Linked DNA regions of Lytechinus pictus. The protein of the gene in region 1 interacts with the protein of each later gene in a pairwise test. Links are inferred from orthologs where the notes say so. Each region holds a gene or a part of one and is shown on either strand. Other genes may lie near its edges.

Region 1 (10,949 bases):
GGTCCAGTTAAAATTATACTGGTCCAGTTAAATTTGACCATCAAAAAATTACTGGTCCAGCTTATAGCAGACCAGTATATTTTGTTCCAATTTCCAGAGTTACCAATTAAATTTTACTGGTGTAACTGGTCCAGCCGTACTGGTTTTTCCTTCTGGGATTGCCTCTCTTTTCGTTTCCACTCATGTTTCTTAAAACGATGACTTTGTGAATGCACCAAAGTGCAATAGTCAGAAGTAAAACTAATTTTTCGTCTACTTCATGTTTAAACAAAATTTTAATGATTGATTTCTAAATCTTTATGAAATATTTGCTGGATTATTTTTTTCGAAAATTCAAAGAATGGTTTGTTCAAATCACAAGAAATGAAAGTGTGATTAATATCTTCCTCTACTTCACAACGAGAACAGATGTTATCATTCACCAAACCCCTAATTGTTAATTGTTAGTTGTTAAATAGGGTGAATTTGCTGTACTTTATTCAAATCATTATAATTGTGTGTTAGATAGGATATTAAATCATCAATTCTAACAGAAAAGGATTTATCTGCTTGTTGCATAAAATAAAATGGTTTGAATTGATTACAAGCTCTCAAATTCCTAATTACAAATTGGGTCATTCTTGGTTGACAAAAAATTTTAGTATGAAAGAATATTCATTGCTAAAAAAATAATTTATTGAAATGAAAAAGTAAAGTAAATATACAGCTTTGTACGTGACATTTGCGACCAAAATCTGAAAACTATGGCAAAAATAATCTGCTGATTGGCAAGAAGTCTTATAACCATACACTTCATTTCCTACCACTTAGCGCAATCCTATATTTGAACCCCCGACAAAACCATCTCGTGTGCACTCAAGCATGAACAAATTAAAAAAAAAAACATTTTGATTTTGATCGATAAGATTTCAGAGCATCTATGAACATCAAAATATAGACATCATAATTCAAAAGGGTATTTTGATAGACGTTTCATAACTGTCCCGTTTTTATTGATACGCACTGTAAAATTGAATAAAAAGGGTCACCCCCTTCAAAAATACGATAGCTCTCTTCATTTATCAGGAACTTTTTTTTTACATACTCCTCAATATTCTTAAAACTGGAGTATATAGGAGTGTGGGCTACTAAAACTTAAGTACTAGCCCTTTCTTTTTGTTTACAAATTGAGATATATTAACCCCCCCCCCTCCACAAACCCAAAATATATTTCAGGAGCAATCTTCCAATTGTATTTTATAAAGAGGACTTTTAGTTCAAATTTACTCCTCAATATATATAAAAACGTGGAATATATAGGAATGTATATGAGTGTGGGCTACAAAAACTAAGGCACTAGCCCGTTGTTTTTCTTTACAAATTGAAAGAAGGGAAACCCCCCTACACACACCCAAAATATATTTCAGGAGCAATCTTCCAATTGTATTTTATAAAGAGGACTTTTAGTTGAAATTTACTCCTCAATATACGAAAAAACATAGAGTATATAGGGGTGTGGGCTACTAAAACTAAAGCACTAGCCCGTTGTTTTTCTTTACAAATTGAAAAAGAGGAAAACCCCCCAGCACACACCCAAAATATATATCAGGAGCAATCTTCCAATTGTATTTTATAAAGAGGACTTTTAGTTGAAATTTACTCCTCAATATACGAAAAAACAGAGTATATAGGGGTGTGGGCTACTAAAACTAAAGCACTAGCCCGTTGTTTTTCTTTAAAAATTGAAAGAAGGGAAACCCCCCTCCACACACCCAAAATATATTTCAGGAGCAATCTTCCAATTGTATTTTATAAAGAGGACTTTTAGTTGAAATTTACTCCTCAATATACGAAAAAACATAGAGTATATAGGGGTGTGGGCTACTAAAACTAAAGCACTAGCCATTTGTTTTTCTTTACAAATTGAAAGAAGGGAAACCCCCCTACACACACCCAAAATATATTTCAGGAGCAATCTTCCAATTGTATTTTATAAAGAGGACTTTTAGTTGAAATGTACTCCTCAATATAAGAAAAAACATAGAGTATATAGGGGTGTGGGCTACTAAAACTAAAGCACTAGCCATTTGTTTTTCTTTACAAATTGAAAGAAGGGAAACCCCCCTACACACACCCAAAATATATTTCAGGAGCAATCTTCCAATTGTATTTTATAAAGAGGACTTTTTGTTGAAATTTACTCCTCAATATACGAAAAAACATAGAGTATATAGGGGTGTGGGCTACTAAAACTAAAGCACTAGCCCGTTGTTTTTCTTTACAAATTGAAAAAGAGGAAAACCCCCCAGCACACACCCAAAATATATTTCAGGAGCAATCTTCCAATTGTATTTTATAAAGAGGACTTTTAGTTGAAATTTACTCCTCAATATACGAAAAAACATAGAGTATATAGGGGTGTGGGCTACTAAAACTAAAGCACTAGCCCGTTGTTTTTCTTTACAAATTGAAAAAGAGGAAAACCCCCCAGCACACACCCAAAATATATATCAGGAGCAATCTTCCAATTGTATTTTATAAAGAGGACTTTTAGTTGAAATTTACTCCTCAATATACGAAAAAACATAGAGTATATAGGGGTGTGGGCTACTAAAACTAAAGCACTAGCCCGTTGTTTTTCTTTAAAAATTGAAAGAAGGGAAACCCCCCTCCACACACCCAAAATATATTTCAGGAGCAATCTTCCAATTGTATTTTATAAAGAGGACTTTTAGTTGAAATTTACTCCTCAATATACGAAAAAACATAGAGTATATAGGGGTGTGGGCTACTAAAACTAAAGCACTAGCCATTTGTTTTTCTTTACAAATTGAAAGAAGGGAAACCCCCCTACACACACCCAAAATATATTTCAGGAGCAATCTTCCAATTGTATTTTATAAAGAGGACTTTTTGTTGAAATTTACTCCTCAATATACGAAAAAACATAGAGTATATAGGGGTGTGGGCTACTAAAACTAAAGCACTAGCCCGTTGTTTTTCTTTACAAATTGAAAAAGAGGAAAACCCCCCAGCACACACCCAAAATATATTTCAGGAGCAATCTTCCAATTGTATTTTATAAAGAGGACTTTTAGTTGAAATTTACTCCTCAATATACGAAAAAACATAGAGTATATAGGGGTGTGGGCTACTAAAACTAAAGCACTAGCCCGTTGTTTTTCTTTACAAACTGAAAGAAAGGAAACCCCCCAGCACACACCCAAAATATATTTCAGGAGCAATCTTCCAATTGTATTTTATAAAGAGGACTTTTAGTTGAAATGTACTCCTCAATATACGAAAAAACATAGAGTATATAGGGGTGTGGGCTACTAAAACTAAAGCACTAGTCCGTTGTTTTTCTTTACAAATTGAAAGAAGGGAAACCCCCCTCCACACACCCAAAATATATTTCAGGAGCAATCTTCCAATTGTATTTTATAAAGAGGACTTTTAGTTGAAATTTACTCCTCAATATACGAAAAAAACATAAAGTATATAGGGGTGTGGGCTACTAAAACTAAAGCACTAGCCATTTGTTTTTCTTTACAAATTGAAAGAAGGGAAACCCCCCTACACACACCCAAAATATATTTCAGGAGCAATCTTCCAATTGTATTTTATAAAGAGGACTTTTAGTTGAAATGTACTCCTCAATATACGAAAAAACATAGAGTATATAGGGGTGTGGGGTTCTAAAACTAAAGCACTAGCCCGTTGTTTTTCTTTACAAATTGAAAAAGAGGAAAACCCCCCTACACACACCCAAAATATATTTTAGGAGCAATCTTCCAATTGTATTTTATAAAGAGGACTTTTAGTTGAAATTTACTCCTCAATATACGAAAAACATAGAGTATATAGGGGTGTGGGCTACTAAAACTAAAGCACTAGCCCGTTGTTTTTCTTTACAAATTGAAAGAAGGGAAACCCCCCTACACACACCCAAAATATATTTCAGGAGCAATCTTCCAATTGTATTTTATAAAGAGGACTTTTAGTTGAAATTTACTCCTCAATATACGAAAAAACATAGAGTATATAGGGGTGTGGGCTACTAAAACTAAAGCACTAGCCCGTTGTTTTTCTTTACAAATTGAAAGAAGGGAAACCCCCCTCCACACACCCAAAATATATTTCAGGAGCAATCTTCCAATTGGCCCTTATCAGGAAGACATTCATTCTAATTTACTCTTCAATATACAAAGAAACATCCTATATTATATAGGGGTGCGGGCTACCTAATAACCAGAAAATCGTGGTTTTTTTCTTCTTTTTTTTCTTCTTCTTTTCATTATTATTTTTTATTTTTTTTTTTTGGGGGGGGCTTTTGTTTGGCTTTTTCCGGCTCGCTCGCTTCGTTTCTTGCATTAAACAATGCCATTTTCAAGGTAGGAAATGTCCCTTTTCTTCTGTGCCCCCCACTTCCAACTTCGCTCCGCCGCCCCTGAACAGGAGTGCTACTAAGACATGGGAACTAGCCCCTTGTTTGTTTAAACAAATTGAAAGAAGGGTAACCCCACCGTTTGTTTGATTTGTCCTAGAATGCGTGCTATTCTGCGCACGCAAAATCCTGTATCTGATTTATCTTAGATAGCTAATATTGTTGGCTGGAACTGTTGGCTGGCTTGCTGTTGGCTAGCTTATTGTTGGCTGACTCTACTCCAGCTTGGCAGACAGACAGACCAGACCGCGGCCGCCACACAATTCACAACTTGAAAAAAACAAAAAACAATTAGTTAAATGTACGGTACCTCCTCCAACTTTTGAAGAACATCTGCAGCAGTCATCTCTACCTCCTCTTCATCACTAGAGAATTCATTTTCTAAGCTTTCGTCAATTTCTTCAGACATTTTGGTAGTTTTATTTGACTTCTTGGTCTTGGTTTCGTTTGTGTTGCGTTGTCTCAACTTTCGCGCGAATCTTTGCCCAAAGTGCAAGTGACCGTCAGAGGGCGCCTAGGCAGCTCGCAGTCTAAAAAGATGGCAGCTTCCATGAGAAGAATTTTTGGTAAAAGTTTAGGTAAAATGAAATTAAATCTTCACATTTTGCTAATATTTTATTTTTGACAGCGTTTTTCGATTTGATCTATAGTTGAGTTGATATTTTTTAACTTGTTGAATATGGTGGAAGTTTGAATATATTGGTTGATTAAGGGTCTGTGACTGTGTTGTACTGTTCAGCGCACAGCGACTGTTTTCGGCATTTTAATTCTTGTGCTATTTAAATTATTGCAACACGGAATTGTGATTTTTGTACTTGACTTGTGTGTGTAAGAATCGCACGTGCCCATGATAGTAATGTCTGAATGCACATTAGAGGCGCACGGCCAATGTGTGACTTTGCCTTTGGCCTTTGGGAGACTGTCTCCCATGAGTCTGAGAGAGATTATCTCCTATACTCTATATCAGTTCAGAGACTTTAGTTTTGTAAAGAATGGGTATCCTATTTCAGAGACAGTCTCCAATTTGAGAGACCAATTAATTTACATTTATTTTGGCTTGGCCTTTGCCAAAGGCAAAGCCCAAACTGAAACTTTGCTGCAAAAGGATTACATTGTCCTTGACCTTGGCGGCAAATAAAAATGTGATAAGCAGATTCCTCATGAAAAATTAACCCCTTTTTCACTGCTTACTTAAAGAATTCACACTCACAGTCTACTTTGTTTTGAGAAGGATTTTTGTTGTCATCCACACACAAAATTTCAAAACAAATGGGCTTCTGGCCTCAGACTCAGTGAGACAAAATTTTGGGTGGAAAAAATTATGCTTTTGTTGGCGTTGTTTCTTTGGCAAGACTTCCATATGTCCCCTCCACTAAAATTGAAAAAAAAAAAGAAATATGGAGAAGGTTTATCAAGAATTATCTAACATATATCTAAGAGATTTAAGAAGGAAAAGTTGGATACATACCAAAGTATGGCTTTATTCCGTCAGAATTTTGAGTGTGTAATTCCCAATGGCATTGGTTTATTTAGTCAGAAAAATAAATACCCAATACTCTTGGAGAGTAGACTAGTCGTAATATCGGTTGATAACCACTATGAAACCCATGGCTTTCAACAATTCCTGCTAGCTCAGTGAGTAAGGCGATAGACTGGAGATGCTCGTTCTGCAGCGAGAGGTTCGAATCCAAGTTCCAACCGGAAGTAAGAAGAAAAAAAAAAAGAAGAAAAAGAGAACGAAAGAAGGGGGTTTTGGAGAAGTATTTTTTTTAATTAGTGGAGGGGACATAAGGAAGTCTTTCCGTTTCTTTTGTTCTTTTGCAAAGCAAGTCTCCAATATGGGAGACAATCTTCCATATTGGAGACTTGCTTTGCAAAAGAAAGAAAAGTCTCCCATATTGGCCGTGCGCCTCTACTGATGCATGTACCATTTCCAGCGTGTGCATTTTCTTATTACAGCGGGTGTCGTGGTGATCATGCTAAGTCCTTATTCTTGCCTGTTCTGGCTTATACAGCTGCAGCCATCTATTTCGAGGAGTTTTTAAACATTTTAAAAATGTTCTTATTTCTCCTCGTACACAGACAGCACTAGAGGCGCCGCTGGTCCAAAAATTGGGATTGTCCCAGTCCCAGAAAACAAGGATATCCTCATAAACCAAGACAAATCATGTCTTGATAAATTGAGATTGTCCTTGTTTATGGGGACAGTTTTTTATTTTCACTTAACCCTTCAGGACATAGACGGCAATTACGGAGATTAAGAGTGCTAAAAATAGATTCAGTGACCTCAATTCCCCCCAGTTTACCATCTATTTTTCACGACTTGTTGTCTTCCAATAATCTTGTTATGAAACCTGATATGTTTACATTGACTAGCGCACTTGATTGATTTTGGCACTTGACAGGTGAATGAACTTTCCTAGATTTCTTGTGTGGAGAAATCTTTGAAAACTGAGACAGTTCCTGTAAACTGGGACGATCCCAGCACCCCTACTGTAAATCTGAGCAGAAATTGGAAAATAATTATTTTATAATTTTGTTCAATATCTGCCCAGATTTACTTTCCAATATCTAATTATTAAATCAATTGATCCAATTCCCTTAATTTCAGCTGGAACTTGCATCAAGAACATAATTGATCTCTACATTTATCCTAGTCTCAGAAGGTCCATGGTCAGATCTGGCCTGGTCAGACTTGTCTCATGTGACGCATGTGACATTACAAAATCTTATTTTTTAAAATATCATAATCAGTATCACATTTTTTATTTGTTTTCTACATTTATTATAAATAAACAGCCAAAATCAACCCAAGTTAGATAAAGCAAACCAATAAAAATGAATTTTTTGAAAAGAAAAAGAAAATTAGTAATTATTGCATAATGTTGCCTCATGAAATCATGTTTCATTATGATGCTAGCATATATTTTACAAATTAGACAGTCTAATTTGTGATATTATATATATTTATACATGTACATTTTGAGGTCAAATTTAGACCTCAAATAAAGAATGATAAGAAAAATGTCATAAAACTCATGCCACCAACTAGGGTCTTGATTTGGCTGCAAGTTTTCAACATACTTGAAAGCATTTTCTACATAAATATGACAGGAGTAGGCCTACTTTTCTGGCAGTCATTCAAGCAGTAAGCAGAAAAAAATGAGACCTCCATTTGAATTATATTTTTTTGTTTTGTGGGTTTTGAAAAGTATGTCATTGCAATTGATTTTATAAAACATTGTTGATAGTAATTAATTACTTTTGCCATTGACTCAATCCAGGTTAAAGAATTAGAATCATGTGATTCTTTTCAAACATATGTTTTTTGTGTGTACACACACTTATATTTTTATTTTATCCTACAGTTCCACAAATTCAGCAGAAACTGTTGTCACCAGCTTCTACTCCATGGCGTACTGGATGTATCAATCAGAAGAGCATTCAACATGGAGTGGTATCACCACTGACCACTCCCATTAGGGGTGTAACCCTTGCATCCCTGAGGGGTATTGCTTCTGCACCCCTCCACCAGTCCACTGCTATTCAGGAGGATCACTGGAGGAGCTCTGAACTCTCTCAAGTTTGCTCCAGGCTGACTGGGCTAAATCTCCAGGCTCCAGCTCCTAATGTTGCTAGAGGTCAGATCCAGGGAAGGTCCTTCTCAAGCTTGATATGTAGCAGGTACACCGGGGGATTTAGCTACAACGAAATGTAAGTTTTTATCAAATTTTGTGAATACTTTAAGCGTACTTCCAAGTGGGATATGAAGCTACAATATTATAATGAGGCATGAATTATTGGGAACTATTATTGATATGGCATGCACCTGTAAGCCAAGCTACATGGTGAAGTTAAAATTGATGCAGAGGTTCGAGGCTTGAGCCCTAATCACGTCTTTCAGATGGTGATGTTAAAGGTTGGTTCCATACGTAATTAATTATATCTAATTGATACAGGTCTGTAAAAACTCAAACGTATACACACACATACATGTAGTCAAAGAAGTTAGATTTTACTGTTTATAATCCTTTCCTTGGATGCTGAAGTTATGATAACCATTTCTCCCTGTCTGAAACTCTAAAATACTAGCTTTTGCACCTTTACAATATGAGGTATGATTCATTGAAATTTTTATGCCACAATATTTCAATAATGTCATTTCATGTAACTGTAGCTACAGCAAAAATAGATTTTATTGAGAGGGAAATTATGTCCATTAGGTTGATTGGAATAAAGAAGTAAAATAAAACAACATAATTGTTACTATGATTGAAATCAGATAAATTATCTTTATCAGATAAAGATTCATAAATTTGGAGTTATACATGTAAAGATTGTTCTATAAAGCAGTGATATTTATTCATATTCACAGGCTACAATACATGTATGTATTGGAGATTTTATCAACATAAAAATATTGCTTGACTCCTCATGCAATATTCAAGAATTAGTGTAATTTGCTTTGTTGTAAAGGAGAGCAATACAATATTGCTTATCCATATCTCAGAAAAAAAGGGAGAAGCTTGTGTTTTATGTTTGGCAATAATATTCTTTTAGGGATATCTGTGTTGATGAAACATCATTGATGCTTTGGTCCTTTAAATCAGATTAGCTATGAAGGGTTTTGCCTTACTTTGTTTTTTCTTTACTTTCTTTCTTTCTTTCCGGCAGTATAAACCAGAAATTTGTGAAACCTCAAGTATTTAACCATCAACCCAATAGGACAGTGATACGATTCAGTAAAAACAAAGGCAAGAAGAAGACAGTTCATGCAGTGATTGATAGATTCTATAGACTTGACAAGTAGGTCAATTTTCTTTAATATTGTCCATAGCTTGACAAGTTACCATCTGCTATTAAAAGCTTCTATAACACTGTAAAAGATGACAAATTAAAGGGGGGGGGGGGAGTGGCTGTAAAATCTCGGCTGTTGACTGCATGATTTCAATGGAAATTGGCATGCATGTTGCTTGTGACATAATTGCCGAGATTGAATTTTGATTTTTACCCTATTTATACGTATAATAATTTTTCATGAATGCAAAAAAGATTAGTGGTCAGATTAGATCAATATTAAAAAAATTCTTATCTAGTTGCGTTAAAAGATTTGGTTATTGGCAGAGGCATACGTTTCAACTACACATCGTTGAGAATCCATCTTGTTTGAAAAAGGTCAGTTAGAGAGCTGGAAGAGGGGATTTATATTGTTGCTTTACCGATGTTTATAAGGTTATTGTTAGAAATATTTATCATTTTGGGTTGAAGAAAAGAGAAAAATCTGTTATTATTTCAGTGGCCCGACCATGGAGTAGCGTGTATGCAATGCTTTGCTACCGAAGGGAAAAGGCACTGTATCATTATCAAATGACTATTGGACTGGATTAGATTATTAAAACATTGGAGGAGTGTACGTTTCTATGTCGAGATCTACAAGAAAACGGGGGAAAATTGAATTAAAGATGAAATGTTGGAGTCACGGGAAGAGAACACAGGGTTGGAATTATGGAAAGTTACCTCTGAATTTGATTATTTGCAAAATTTTATTTTTCAGTGGTTTGTGGGTGAGGACGCAAGCAGGCAGGGCTAAGAAGCTTTGGAAGAAATCACCTCGACGCAGGTAAGTTATCTCAAAGTTTTTTGTTGTTTGCAGGATATTATCAAAGCCTTTCATTCTCTTGGCAACCAGTTCCTAACAATGTCAAGTCGCCCTTATATCTGTGATTGCAGTGGTTGCCAACGATATAAGTCCCCAGCTCTAACACAATGATATGGCTTGCGCAAGGATTTCTTGTTTAGAAACCATCTCTATAATTCAACAATAGACTGCAATAACCTCACTTTGGTACTCCTTTATACTCCCTGAAAAAATTGCATTAAATCAGGATGAAGGAGAATGAAAAGGAAACTTGTATGCCCCTAAGCAATAGCAGAGTAATGGAATTTTCTTGGTATAATAGAGTAATAAAATTTGAATGTAAATCCTTAAAAAAAAGCTTTAAAAATGCTAAATTGCGGTCTCAACACTCATTTTATCAAAGAACATTAAAAAATGTAGTATAAAAAATATGCAATTTATATATTATCTATTTATTTGTATTTTCATGTACATAAGATATTTGTTATTCATATTTCTTTGTTTATCGACTTATTCATTCATTTATTTCTTGATGGAAATATTTGGCGACACTATTCTGATTATAAAGAGCTATTTTTGTTGGTTTCACCCATTAAATTTACCCCCAAGCTTATTAATTTTTTTTTTTTTTACTGTTCTTGTGTTTTGTATTCTCCAGGCATCGACTGAAGCAACACATCTTCTGCAACAAGACTCAGTCCAAGATGCTCGACAGGATGGTGTCTGGTTATTGGAAAAAGAGGCGCCATTATCTTGATGACCCCTTTGAACAGTATCATGATCGGCACTTTGATGTTATCCCTCCGGGCAGTAACGTCAAAGAACAATAGAGACTTGTCGAGACTTGAGAGAGATTGTTTATCAGGGTGTAGGAAGTGGATTGGA
Region 2 (9,914 bases), on another chromosome or scaffold:
TTGCACAGTGGTAGTGTGCGATATAGTCTACAAGGTTGTGTGGTTTATTTTTTTTTAATAATAAGATTCTTCATTTAATGAATTGATTATGCTAATATATTCATGAAATGAAATATTTGCTCTAATCAACTATTATACTGCCTCAAAACTGCTAATTTTTTATTCACAGACTCTTTGTAGGATCCCGATCAAATGTACTAAAAAAAAATTTGGTATTGCAATTTTTTTCTTATGTATTTTATTGTTTTTTTTAAATTTCTTATGTATTTCTTTGTTTTTTTACTTTTTGTTTTTATTGTTTTTTCGATGGAAATTGTTGCAGACTTAATTTTGATCATAAGACAAAATTAATTAAATTTAATCAGTCAAAGTAGAAATAATGATACATTTATGAATTTTGGCTAAATACACAATTTGCTTTGGATTTGTACATGAATTCACATTTTTGAGCAGTTTTGGGTCCGACATGCACTTACATAATGTTACGTGATTTCGTAATCGCGTACCCGGGCATCGTAAATTTGATCTCAAAAGTTGCGCGAGATTTGAAAGTAATAAGTCAGCGAGTGGCGCAGTTGAAAAATTTCCAGCGGCGGATTTATCGTGAAAAATGTAGAGGGGGCGAATTCTGCCCCCCAGGCCTTTTAGGGTTAAAGACCAGTTCAGTGCACAAATGAATTAGCTTAAAAAATAAAACTGATCATACATAACAAAGTGAGCATAATGTCATTAAATGAGCTATTTTATTAAAATATGTCATGATATATACATGTATATATACACAATTCTTTTTCAAGGGACTGACAGGACTGGAAGCCATTCCATGTTTCATAAGTTCAATCATGAGCCCCCCCCCCCCCTTCCAGTTGACACAACATATGCTCCTGCAACATTTGTTTCAGTCTTAATATCTTAGAGGGCATAGGTTTAAAAGTTAGGATTGCAATAGAGTTTTGGTCCGGAATAATGTTAAGATAATGATCAGGGTTTATTTAGTTTTTGAGGTTAGGTTTTATGTATGGTGTAACATGCACATTTTACAAGGAGTAAAATGGGCAAGCCACTATAAGTACATGTACAGGGTATAAACAAAATAAATACGAAAGTACTGCTCATTTTAACCTCCAAATGCTAAGAGATCATTGTCCCTCCAATATGCATGATGAACCCAAATTGCAGTTGACCCCCGAAACAGCTCTCCCCTTCTGAGGAGAACAAGGCAACTTAATACATACGTCAGTATCCTTTGACTTCACCTCATGATCCCCCCCTCTCCAAAATAAAAGCTGATTTGATCATTAAGAAATTACATTATCCCTCCAAGATGAACCAAGTTAACCTCTCAAATGATTTCTTAGTTCTTGCAGTAGAGGCAAGAAAATACTTGATTTGATATGTGTTGGTCCCATTTTTTTCCAATAGCTACATCAGCATGCTACTATTCCATAGATGATTCCTCTGGTGTCCACTTTTCGTAATCATCCAATTCCTCATTGTCTGTCCTTGATGCGAACCTATCACTTCTACCTGAATTTCCTTGTTCTTCTATTCTGTGTCCTTCATCAGCATCGGCTGCGTCCTCATCATCAAAGTATTTCTCTTCCTCGTCCCACGCACGGATCGCGAGGGAATCGTACTCCTCATTGTTATCAACTGCTGCGTAATCAAAGTCTTGATCGCCTCCACTGAGGAACCTCTCTCTCATTAGGTTCTGGAACTCTTCTCTCAAGAGATGCTTCTCTGCTTCTGTGGCAGGAGTTGGCTGACGAGGGCTAAAGACTGCACCATCTTGATCCTCATCATCCATCATTTCGTCATCCTCTTCTTCATCCTCATCATCTTCTTTCCCGACAGAATTTTGTGAGGGTTGAGCCAGGGCGGTGGACTGACCTGAACATAATAAAGATAAATGAGTGTTTCAATTCAAACTTAGTATAAAAGTATTATTATATCTTTATAAGTGAAGGAAAACAAAACCAGATTACTTATGTTCAATTAGGACTTGTTCATTTTGAACATGATAGTTCTTAAGATGGTCATGATTTGATATTTGCTGCAGCTCCACAGAAATGAAACACATTTGACAATCAACAAATTACATAAATTACCAATTAATACTGAAGAAACATATGAAGAACAAAGTGATTATCTTAATATTGATACATTCATCAAGTATTAGCATGATTTTCTTTGTTTTTGCTAGCCAATGAATATCTTTACAATTTACCAATATCTGGAAGTAAGAGATCACCTTTTTTATCTCCATCAATCTCGTCATCATCATCATCATCTTCTTCTTCTTCTTCTTCTGCCTCTTCTTCTTTATCTTGTTGTCTCTTATACAATTCTTTTGTTTCCTGGTCCTGCATGAATGTCATGAGGATTGTTGAAAACTTTAAGTCCGTCATGTCAACCTTTGTTCTGGTTTCTGCACGCTCTTCGTCTGTCAAGTACTGTCCAATGAGCTGTTCATACATCAGAGGCTCCCTCGCTCTCATCTCATCATCGCTGAAATAAGTCCCCTCCTTCTCCAGCTTCTTTAGTGCTTCATACCGTCGGTTTTTCACTACCACAGAGTTATTTCCAGTACTAAGTCTCCTCTTAGTCATCTTGAGATAAAACGACACCTCGTACACATCGGAGGAAGGTTCGAAACACACAAGGTCGTCTTCACACAGGTAAGGGTGGAACTTTTCAATGAATACTGCAGGAGAGTGATGGAACTGTTCAGAGAGGATTTTTACCCTTTCACTTAATGACAGGTCTACATCGTCTCGTTGCAGGTTTTTGATGTGGGCATTGCTGAGCGCAATGTTCTCAAACATTCGTTGCTGTGCGTTCAAAAGTTCGTCTGTAGTGTCTATTTGTGGAGCAGATATCAATTCTATATTTTCTGGAGCTTGGATGCTTTCCGTATTGGGCTTGGGTAAATCTACCGGAGACTGCATCATCATGCATACCTTCAATATAAAAATACAAACACAAACATTTATTTCACTCACTCAAATTTATCACTCAATTATGTAAGCAATATATCAACTTTGGTTTCATCGACCATCAATTATAGTTTATATACATTCTTTTTTTTATTTACTGAACACCTTTCACATATTCAATGATATCAAATACAATTCAGACAAGCCAAGTCTCATATATTTAGGAGCAGGAGACTACATTACGAACTCTTGCTCATCCCTCCAAATCTCCTTCTTACAACTGTGTCACAGCCTATCCTCAATATAGTCTACAATACACATAATGCCTGGAGATATCCCTGCCTAAATTACACAGTATCGCTCCGAAGCTGGTCTTTTTTTAACTTTGCATCTCTGACAGCATTCAAATTCATTTAAATTCCATCACAAATAAATAAATCGGCACATAGATTTATGCTATGCCTATGACTAAATATTCATAAGGGTTGGGTGTCCGGACACTTATTATTAAAGCCTCCTCTTTTCTCTGTAGATGAAACATAAACAATGAATTGAAAAATTGTAGACAGCTAATCCTCGATCATCAGCCTATGTTCTCTTTAATTAGAACACTTTGTATACCCAGTTGTTGTGTGTCCGGACAGGTTGTGTGTCCGGACGATCAATTTTAGAAAGTCATTTGGAAAAAATTACAAGCGAAATTTCATCAATTTTTAGTACAAAATGTTAGGAAATATTATAGAGAACAAAATAGAAGATGATTACAACTATTGAATTCGTATTTTTAGTGTAATCCAAAGACAAAAAAGAAGGCTTCAAAAATATAAAGTGTCCGGACACCCGATCCCCCATCCTACTAAATGAATTTTATTTTTATCTGCTTGCAAAATTTTTAAATGACTGTTTGAAATTTATTGTTCGAATACACGACCCACAACACCTGGGTACAGATCTAGTCTTATAAGTTATAGGAATAGATCTAATACTTAGGATACACAAGTTACAAGTTCAATCTTATAACATCATGAACATAAGACATTGCATGCCTTTATTTATTTGTTCCTGGACCTGGATGAGTGTCCAGATTTAAAATTTCCAAAGAATACTCATAAATTGTTTGTCAAAGCAGTCAAACAATATTCCAAAGCAAACATTGATATTATTTAAGTAAAGAATGACGCCCGGGGGGGCCACTTCCATTCACGAGTGGATACCATGCGCGACCATGGGGTCTCGAAAAGCACCCTAAACACGTAATTTCCATATTCTGAAAATGCACCCCTTAACAAGTATTGGCGCGTGAAACCCTACCCTTAACAAGTATTGGAAACAAAACGATACTCTTGGCAAATATTCCCTGAAATGAACCCCTAAACAAGTACAGGAATGTTTTATTGTTACGGGTCCTTCGGTCGTCGGCTTTACCTTATTTGGTTTGGTACGACCCCACTTTCTACACCTCGCGCAAATCGGACTCTAAACACGAAGTGTTGGTGCAAAATGGACATCCTTTATAAAACATTTTAATTTTGTTTTATCATTCCCGCAAATTCGACCCTAAACACGTAATTTTCCTAGCGAAATAGACACCCTTTTTTCATTATTTTTGTGTTTTTGACACCCTTATCACGTTACGTACGTAACGTGCCCTATCGTGAAAAGGACATCCTTTTTACGTGTTTTTTTGGTCGCGCATGGTATCCACTCGTCAATGTAAGTGGCCCCCCCGGGGAATGACGACCAAACAGGTGAGCCTAGGTTAGATTGAACGTTAGAGTTTTTAGACAAATAAAAGAGAGGTGGGAGTGCACTTTCGCACCCCACCAAAATAATGCAGTGTTTCAATACGCCAGCGCCCCAATGAAGCGGGGGTGAAGCAGCGAGAAGGTTGTACATTATTTCGTTGACCCACCGGTGAGGCGAAAGCGCACTAGACCTACCGCCGAAGAACTTATTCAAATTCAAGCTCAATATCTTTCCAGTAAATCTACCAGTAAATTCCAATCCACTCACCTTGACCTAGATTATTAAAAATAAAAAAACGGCAATGCAGCAAGCTGATATCGGTTTTGTGTTCTAGGAAAATCGTCGTTGAAACTTGAACATCAAATAAATTTACCAGCTAGTGTCGAGCCTAGCCCTAGGCCTAGTCAGCCGCGCCGAACCGGCGCGCTTAAAGCTTGTGCTGCTGATTTTGCATATCAATATCATGAAGGCGCCTTGATTTGAATTTGGAACTAGATCATAGATGAATATTCAACTTTCTGAGGAGTTCGGGAAATCATGTTCGGAGAAAAGGCAATAGAACTTATCCATGAGCTTCAGAGAGCTGTCAATGGGTCGCTTGCCCCCTTTAATGTGAGTATAATCGGCCTTTTGAGGGTTCTGTTTATGTTAGACGTAGATCCCAGTCCCACTAACTTATTTTTGCGTTTCTTCCTTTTCTGTATGGTTGGAACTACCCCTTATCGACCACCTAATTTTCTAAGCATCGTATCTGCGAAAATATTTATCAGTTTTACCCAGTTTCCGTTTCATTTGTGCAGAAAATTGAGCAGATCAGATTCTCATGTTTCGATCGGCGACTCTGATTCAATCCGCGTATATTATATATCAGCGAACAACGAATACGACGATTTTACATAAATTTGCACCTAGACCAAAAGCTTCAGTCTCTGTAATGTATTTTGGTTGTTCCACTGAACTGCGTTGGCTCCACTCACAATTATAGTAAAATGTCAGATATTGTTAAATAAATCCCCAGAAACGATGGTTATTCCTGTCTAATTTGCACCCTTCTTTTGAAACCGACCACCCGCAATAGTTTACGGCCGATTCTTGTGGCGTTGGCGAAATATTTTGACTCTTCCAAATCAGTTCTATGATATGATGTCAACATGCTATATGATCGTCTCACTACTTCCACTGCGAGCTCCGGCACATGAATCGACGATTGACGACGGATATTTGTTCTAAAGCCGTTTCCTATCGGAAACGGGGCGGGTTCGGGTCTAGTCAAAACAATTTTGATAAATTTTTACCTTTTTCTCTCGTAAAATCTATTCTTACCGTTCCTATGGACACTGCGCCTACTCTCCCGCGCGTATCGTTTGTAATACGCAATAATTTTAATGCGCGCAAGGTGGTCGGTTTCAAAAGAGGTGGTCGATATGTAGTGGTCTCACTATACTTGTTGAGTGATTCATTGACTTGATACATGTATGATATAATTAAATTCATATGTTACTTTACCATGTAGCTAAACAAGTAGACACAGTAAATATTCCATCATTATGAAGGCGTTTGGCATTATACGTTGTTGTAGTCTTTCAGATTTTTTTTTCTTTCCTTTTTTTTCTTTTTTTTTTCTTTCTTTTTTTTTCTTTCTTTTTTTTTCTTTCTTTTTCTTTCTTTCTTTCCTTTCTTTCATCCATCTTTCTTTTTTTTTTTGTGATGCTGGAAAAGTTTTTTTTTCCAGGAGACGTTCATCTACAAATACAATACATGTGTAGCATCTTTATAATATTAAGTTAGACAACAGAAATCTTTTTGGAGTTTGGTCTTTAGAGGAGTTTTACACATTTTATTATGAAGCAAGACATAGTCCAGTTGAACGATAAAATGGACACTGACTCAATATTCTTCATTTTCTTCTCCTTCTCCTCCTTGTCCTCCTTCACTTCCTCCCCCTTCCCCTTCTTCTCCTTCTTCTTCTTCTTCTTCTTCTCCTCTTCCTCCTTCTTCTTCTTCTTCCCCTTCCCCTCTCTTCTATCCTCCTCCCCCTTCTTGGTCTCCTACATGTACTCCCCCTTATCATTCTCCTCCTTCTTTGATTTTCCTATTCTTTCCCCATAGGAGAGGGTTTCCAATATAAGTTTTGATCTCTCCTAAATCAGATATTCACCTAATTATTTGTACTAGATCTTTTTTTATAATTGTCATTGAACAGACTAAATTTGAGTTCAATTTAAATGGTTTTCCCCTTTTTGCAGGAAGAAGGTGTTAGGCAAGTTCTTGAAGAAATGAAAGCTCTTTATGATCAAAACCAAAGCGATGTGTGAGTATTATTTTGCTGGCTTTGTACAAACATGTATATGAGACTCTTTTACAATAAAAGTGATTTCAATTTTCAACACACATGACATGAGCATCTGTCACCTAACTTTTGATGTCTGCATTCAGATTTTTATTGGTACTCAGTAAGATCTCCACTCCCCCTTTCCCCATTACCACCGTCCTGTGCATTTTGGTGTGGTTTGTCAGGGATGCATCATACCGGCTATGCTTGTCATAATAAAAAGCAGATATGGCCTCTGGCTCTGTGCGATCCCTTGAAATTTGGAGGGGTTTAAATAATTTATACTGCTAAGTGCTAACCCGTTGTATAAAACAAATAATGTACAGTTTTCAATTTGACAGAAAAAGTAGTAGGTATAGATTCTGTCTTTCATTATGCCTTGGTGTTTGTTGCAGAGAGGCGACAGTTCAAGGAGAGAAAGACCGCCTTCCAGCTGTCCAGTTTCGTCACACATGTCTTGAAAGAAACAAGCGATGTCTCCTTGCTTACTTGTAAGTATCACTCATTCAAACATACAGTAGAGAAAATGTGGATTTGGAATTAGTACCCAATTTATTTCATGCTGGAATAGAAGACTCTGTCATCCTTTCATTGTTCATTTTTCTATAGGCCTTGGTAATGTAAACACATATGAAATTAATTGCAACATTATGAATTGAAATGTCCAAATATGAATCAAGAATGTTAAAAAGTTTGTTTAACAAGTATGGTGACTAACAGGATTTGTTTGCAAGACACTACATGACATTACAGAAGCAATGCTATATTTGACTATAATTTATAAATTTATCAATATATACTACAAACACTCAATTTGGTAGTTAATTGCCAGTGTAAATGTAACATTTGTTTCTGTACTGATGTTCCCATTTACTAGGCACAACAGACTGTGTATGATCCGTGATATGAGATGGGAGTTTGGAAGTGTGCTACCGGCAGAGGTCAAATACAATCTCTCAGAACAAGAGGTAATTATAAATTCAACAAAGTGTACTTAGGATTTATCAGATTTATATTTTAGGATAGATTTGAATGTTGACACAGAGTGGTTTATAGAGGGAGACATTCTGTAGATAAGATATTTCTTTATGATAGGTTTCTCATTTCATTCCTGTAATAATTTCCTTTTAAATTTTATGTAATCTTTTAAGCTTGCTTCCTTGGACTATTCCCACACCCCAAAGGATTTGCCTAAAAGGATAGAGTTACTCTGGAGATAAGATTCAGAAAAGCGTATCATACAGTGCATATAGAAATTAAAATAGTAATGATGATATTCAAGAAAATAAGTTTAAGGTTCTTTGTTTTTAGGAGCTCAAATTATGTGAAAGTATCTTTCTGAGTTTGTTATGTAATGATGACTATATTACTCTACAGGTGCAGTGGTTTACAAAGTATAACAAGTCATTGGCATCCTACATGAGAACATTAGGACAGGATGGACTTGATCTCACACAGGTAACATGTTTGTTATGAGACTTATGAGTATCGTTTATTTTTAATTATTATTTATTTTCATTATTTTAGGCTGCAATTTTCTTAACCCACAAGCTTTGCCTTTTTTAGTTCCCCCATTTCCTTATCTACTTTATTGTACATGAATGAATTATGGAATATATTTGTCATCTACTGTATTTATTTGTATATTTTTAAGGATTTGAAATGCATTTATATGATCTTATGTGTTGTAAATATGTTTTTTTTTAATGATTTGGAAATAGAGACACTGAATTGAATTGAAATTGTTTCATTATTATTTGTTTACTTTACCTGTGCCTGTGAAATGAAGAGTGATATGAATGGTTTATATTCACTTGTTGCTATTGTTGGGTTTTAGTAAGGCACAAATAACGTCCAGATGTGAATATTTATGCCTGGTGAACAAGCAGTTGTCTACATTCTCAGTTAGTCTCTAATACCACATAGGCAAAACCCATTTGGTCCACTATCACTTTGGTCTAATTGCTGTTTGGTCTACAACCCAAATTATTCTAATTTTGATCTATTGCCTAGTAGTTGGTCTAATTTCCATTTTATCTCCTTATTATTATTTTTTACATTATCTGAGGAAATATATATCGTAAATAATCCATCTAACTTTATAGACTGAGTAGTGTTGGACCAAGTGGATATTAGATAAACTGCCTTACTGAATTATCAGACTAATTGGTACATTGCCTAACTAGCAATCAGACCAAATGTTTATTCGATGAACTATGAAAATAATGTGTGGGATGAGACCAAATAGAAAGTAGATGAAAGTAGGTGCAGATCAATTAGCAATTTACCATCTGAATTACTATAAGGCCCCCCCCCCCAATCCAGTGGGTTTTTTTCCCCTTCACATTGTTTATTGTGATATAAATTAGGAAATGCCCTCTCTGTTAGAAATAGTGGATAATACGTTTAATTAATTTGCACACAAAGTAAACCTTGATATTGTTGTTGTTGTGCCCATGTATATATTTGAAAATAACGATTCCTGGAAGGCGATGTGCCAAGGTGCATTACTCTAGTTGTAATGATTTTAAGAAGTTATGTGATTGAAGGTTAGTCTATCATGCATTTACATGTTCACTTGTTCTATTTCGAAGATGAGGCAAAGCTGATTTGAGAGTATGTATACCTTACAATAGTATTCTGAGGATGCTACTTCCGGGGGGCGTTTCATCAAACAATTAGTCGGTGGTTTTCTCCGACTAAATGTGATTTTCACCGACTAATTTCATTTTCACCGACAATTTTGCCATCACCGACTAAATTCCATTTCATGAAAATTTGTCGGTGATTTTCTCCGACAAATTATTGGAAACCACCGACTAATTTTGTCGGTGGCCTTCACCTACCGACAAAACTTATTTTCACCGACTAATCAGCCTTTTGAGGGCCTTTGCAGCTAA

What was found. The genes of interacting proteins can lie anywhere in the genome.
Region 2: the proteins of DNA replication complex GINS protein SLD5-like (region 1) and DNA replication complex GINS protein PSF1-like interact in a two-hybrid assay, tested with the Drosophila melanogaster proteins (2 studies listed by BioGRID). The link is inferred for Lytechinus pictus from reciprocal best matches to the Drosophila melanogaster genes Sld5 and Psf1.

Annotation. Positions count from the first base shown.
Region 1 is NC_087256.1:9,158,660-9,169,608, forward strand, and holds the start of DNA replication complex GINS protein SLD5-like, read right to left. Parts: upstream 4,836-10,949; coding exon 4,737-4,835; exon of another isoform or gene 4,651-4,736; intron 1-4,650. Other genes in the region: large ribosomal subunit protein bL35m-like, read left to right, coding at 4,965-5,004, 7,795-8,140, 9,101-9,232, 9,981-10,046, 10,723-10,894.
Region 2 is NC_087251.1:34,119,594-34,129,507, forward strand, and holds the start of DNA replication complex GINS protein PSF1-like, read left to right. Parts: upstream 1-5,119; 5' UTR 5,120-5,219; coding exon 5,220-5,294; exon of another isoform or gene 5,295-5,354; intron 5,355-6,928; coding exon 6,929-6,993; intron 6,994-7,409; coding exon 7,410-7,505; intron 7,506-7,891; coding exon 7,892-7,982; intron 7,983-8,391; coding exon 8,392-8,490; 3' UTR 8,491-9,914. Other genes in the region: coiled-coil domain-containing protein 97-like, read right to left, coding at 1,439-1,890, 2,252-2,954.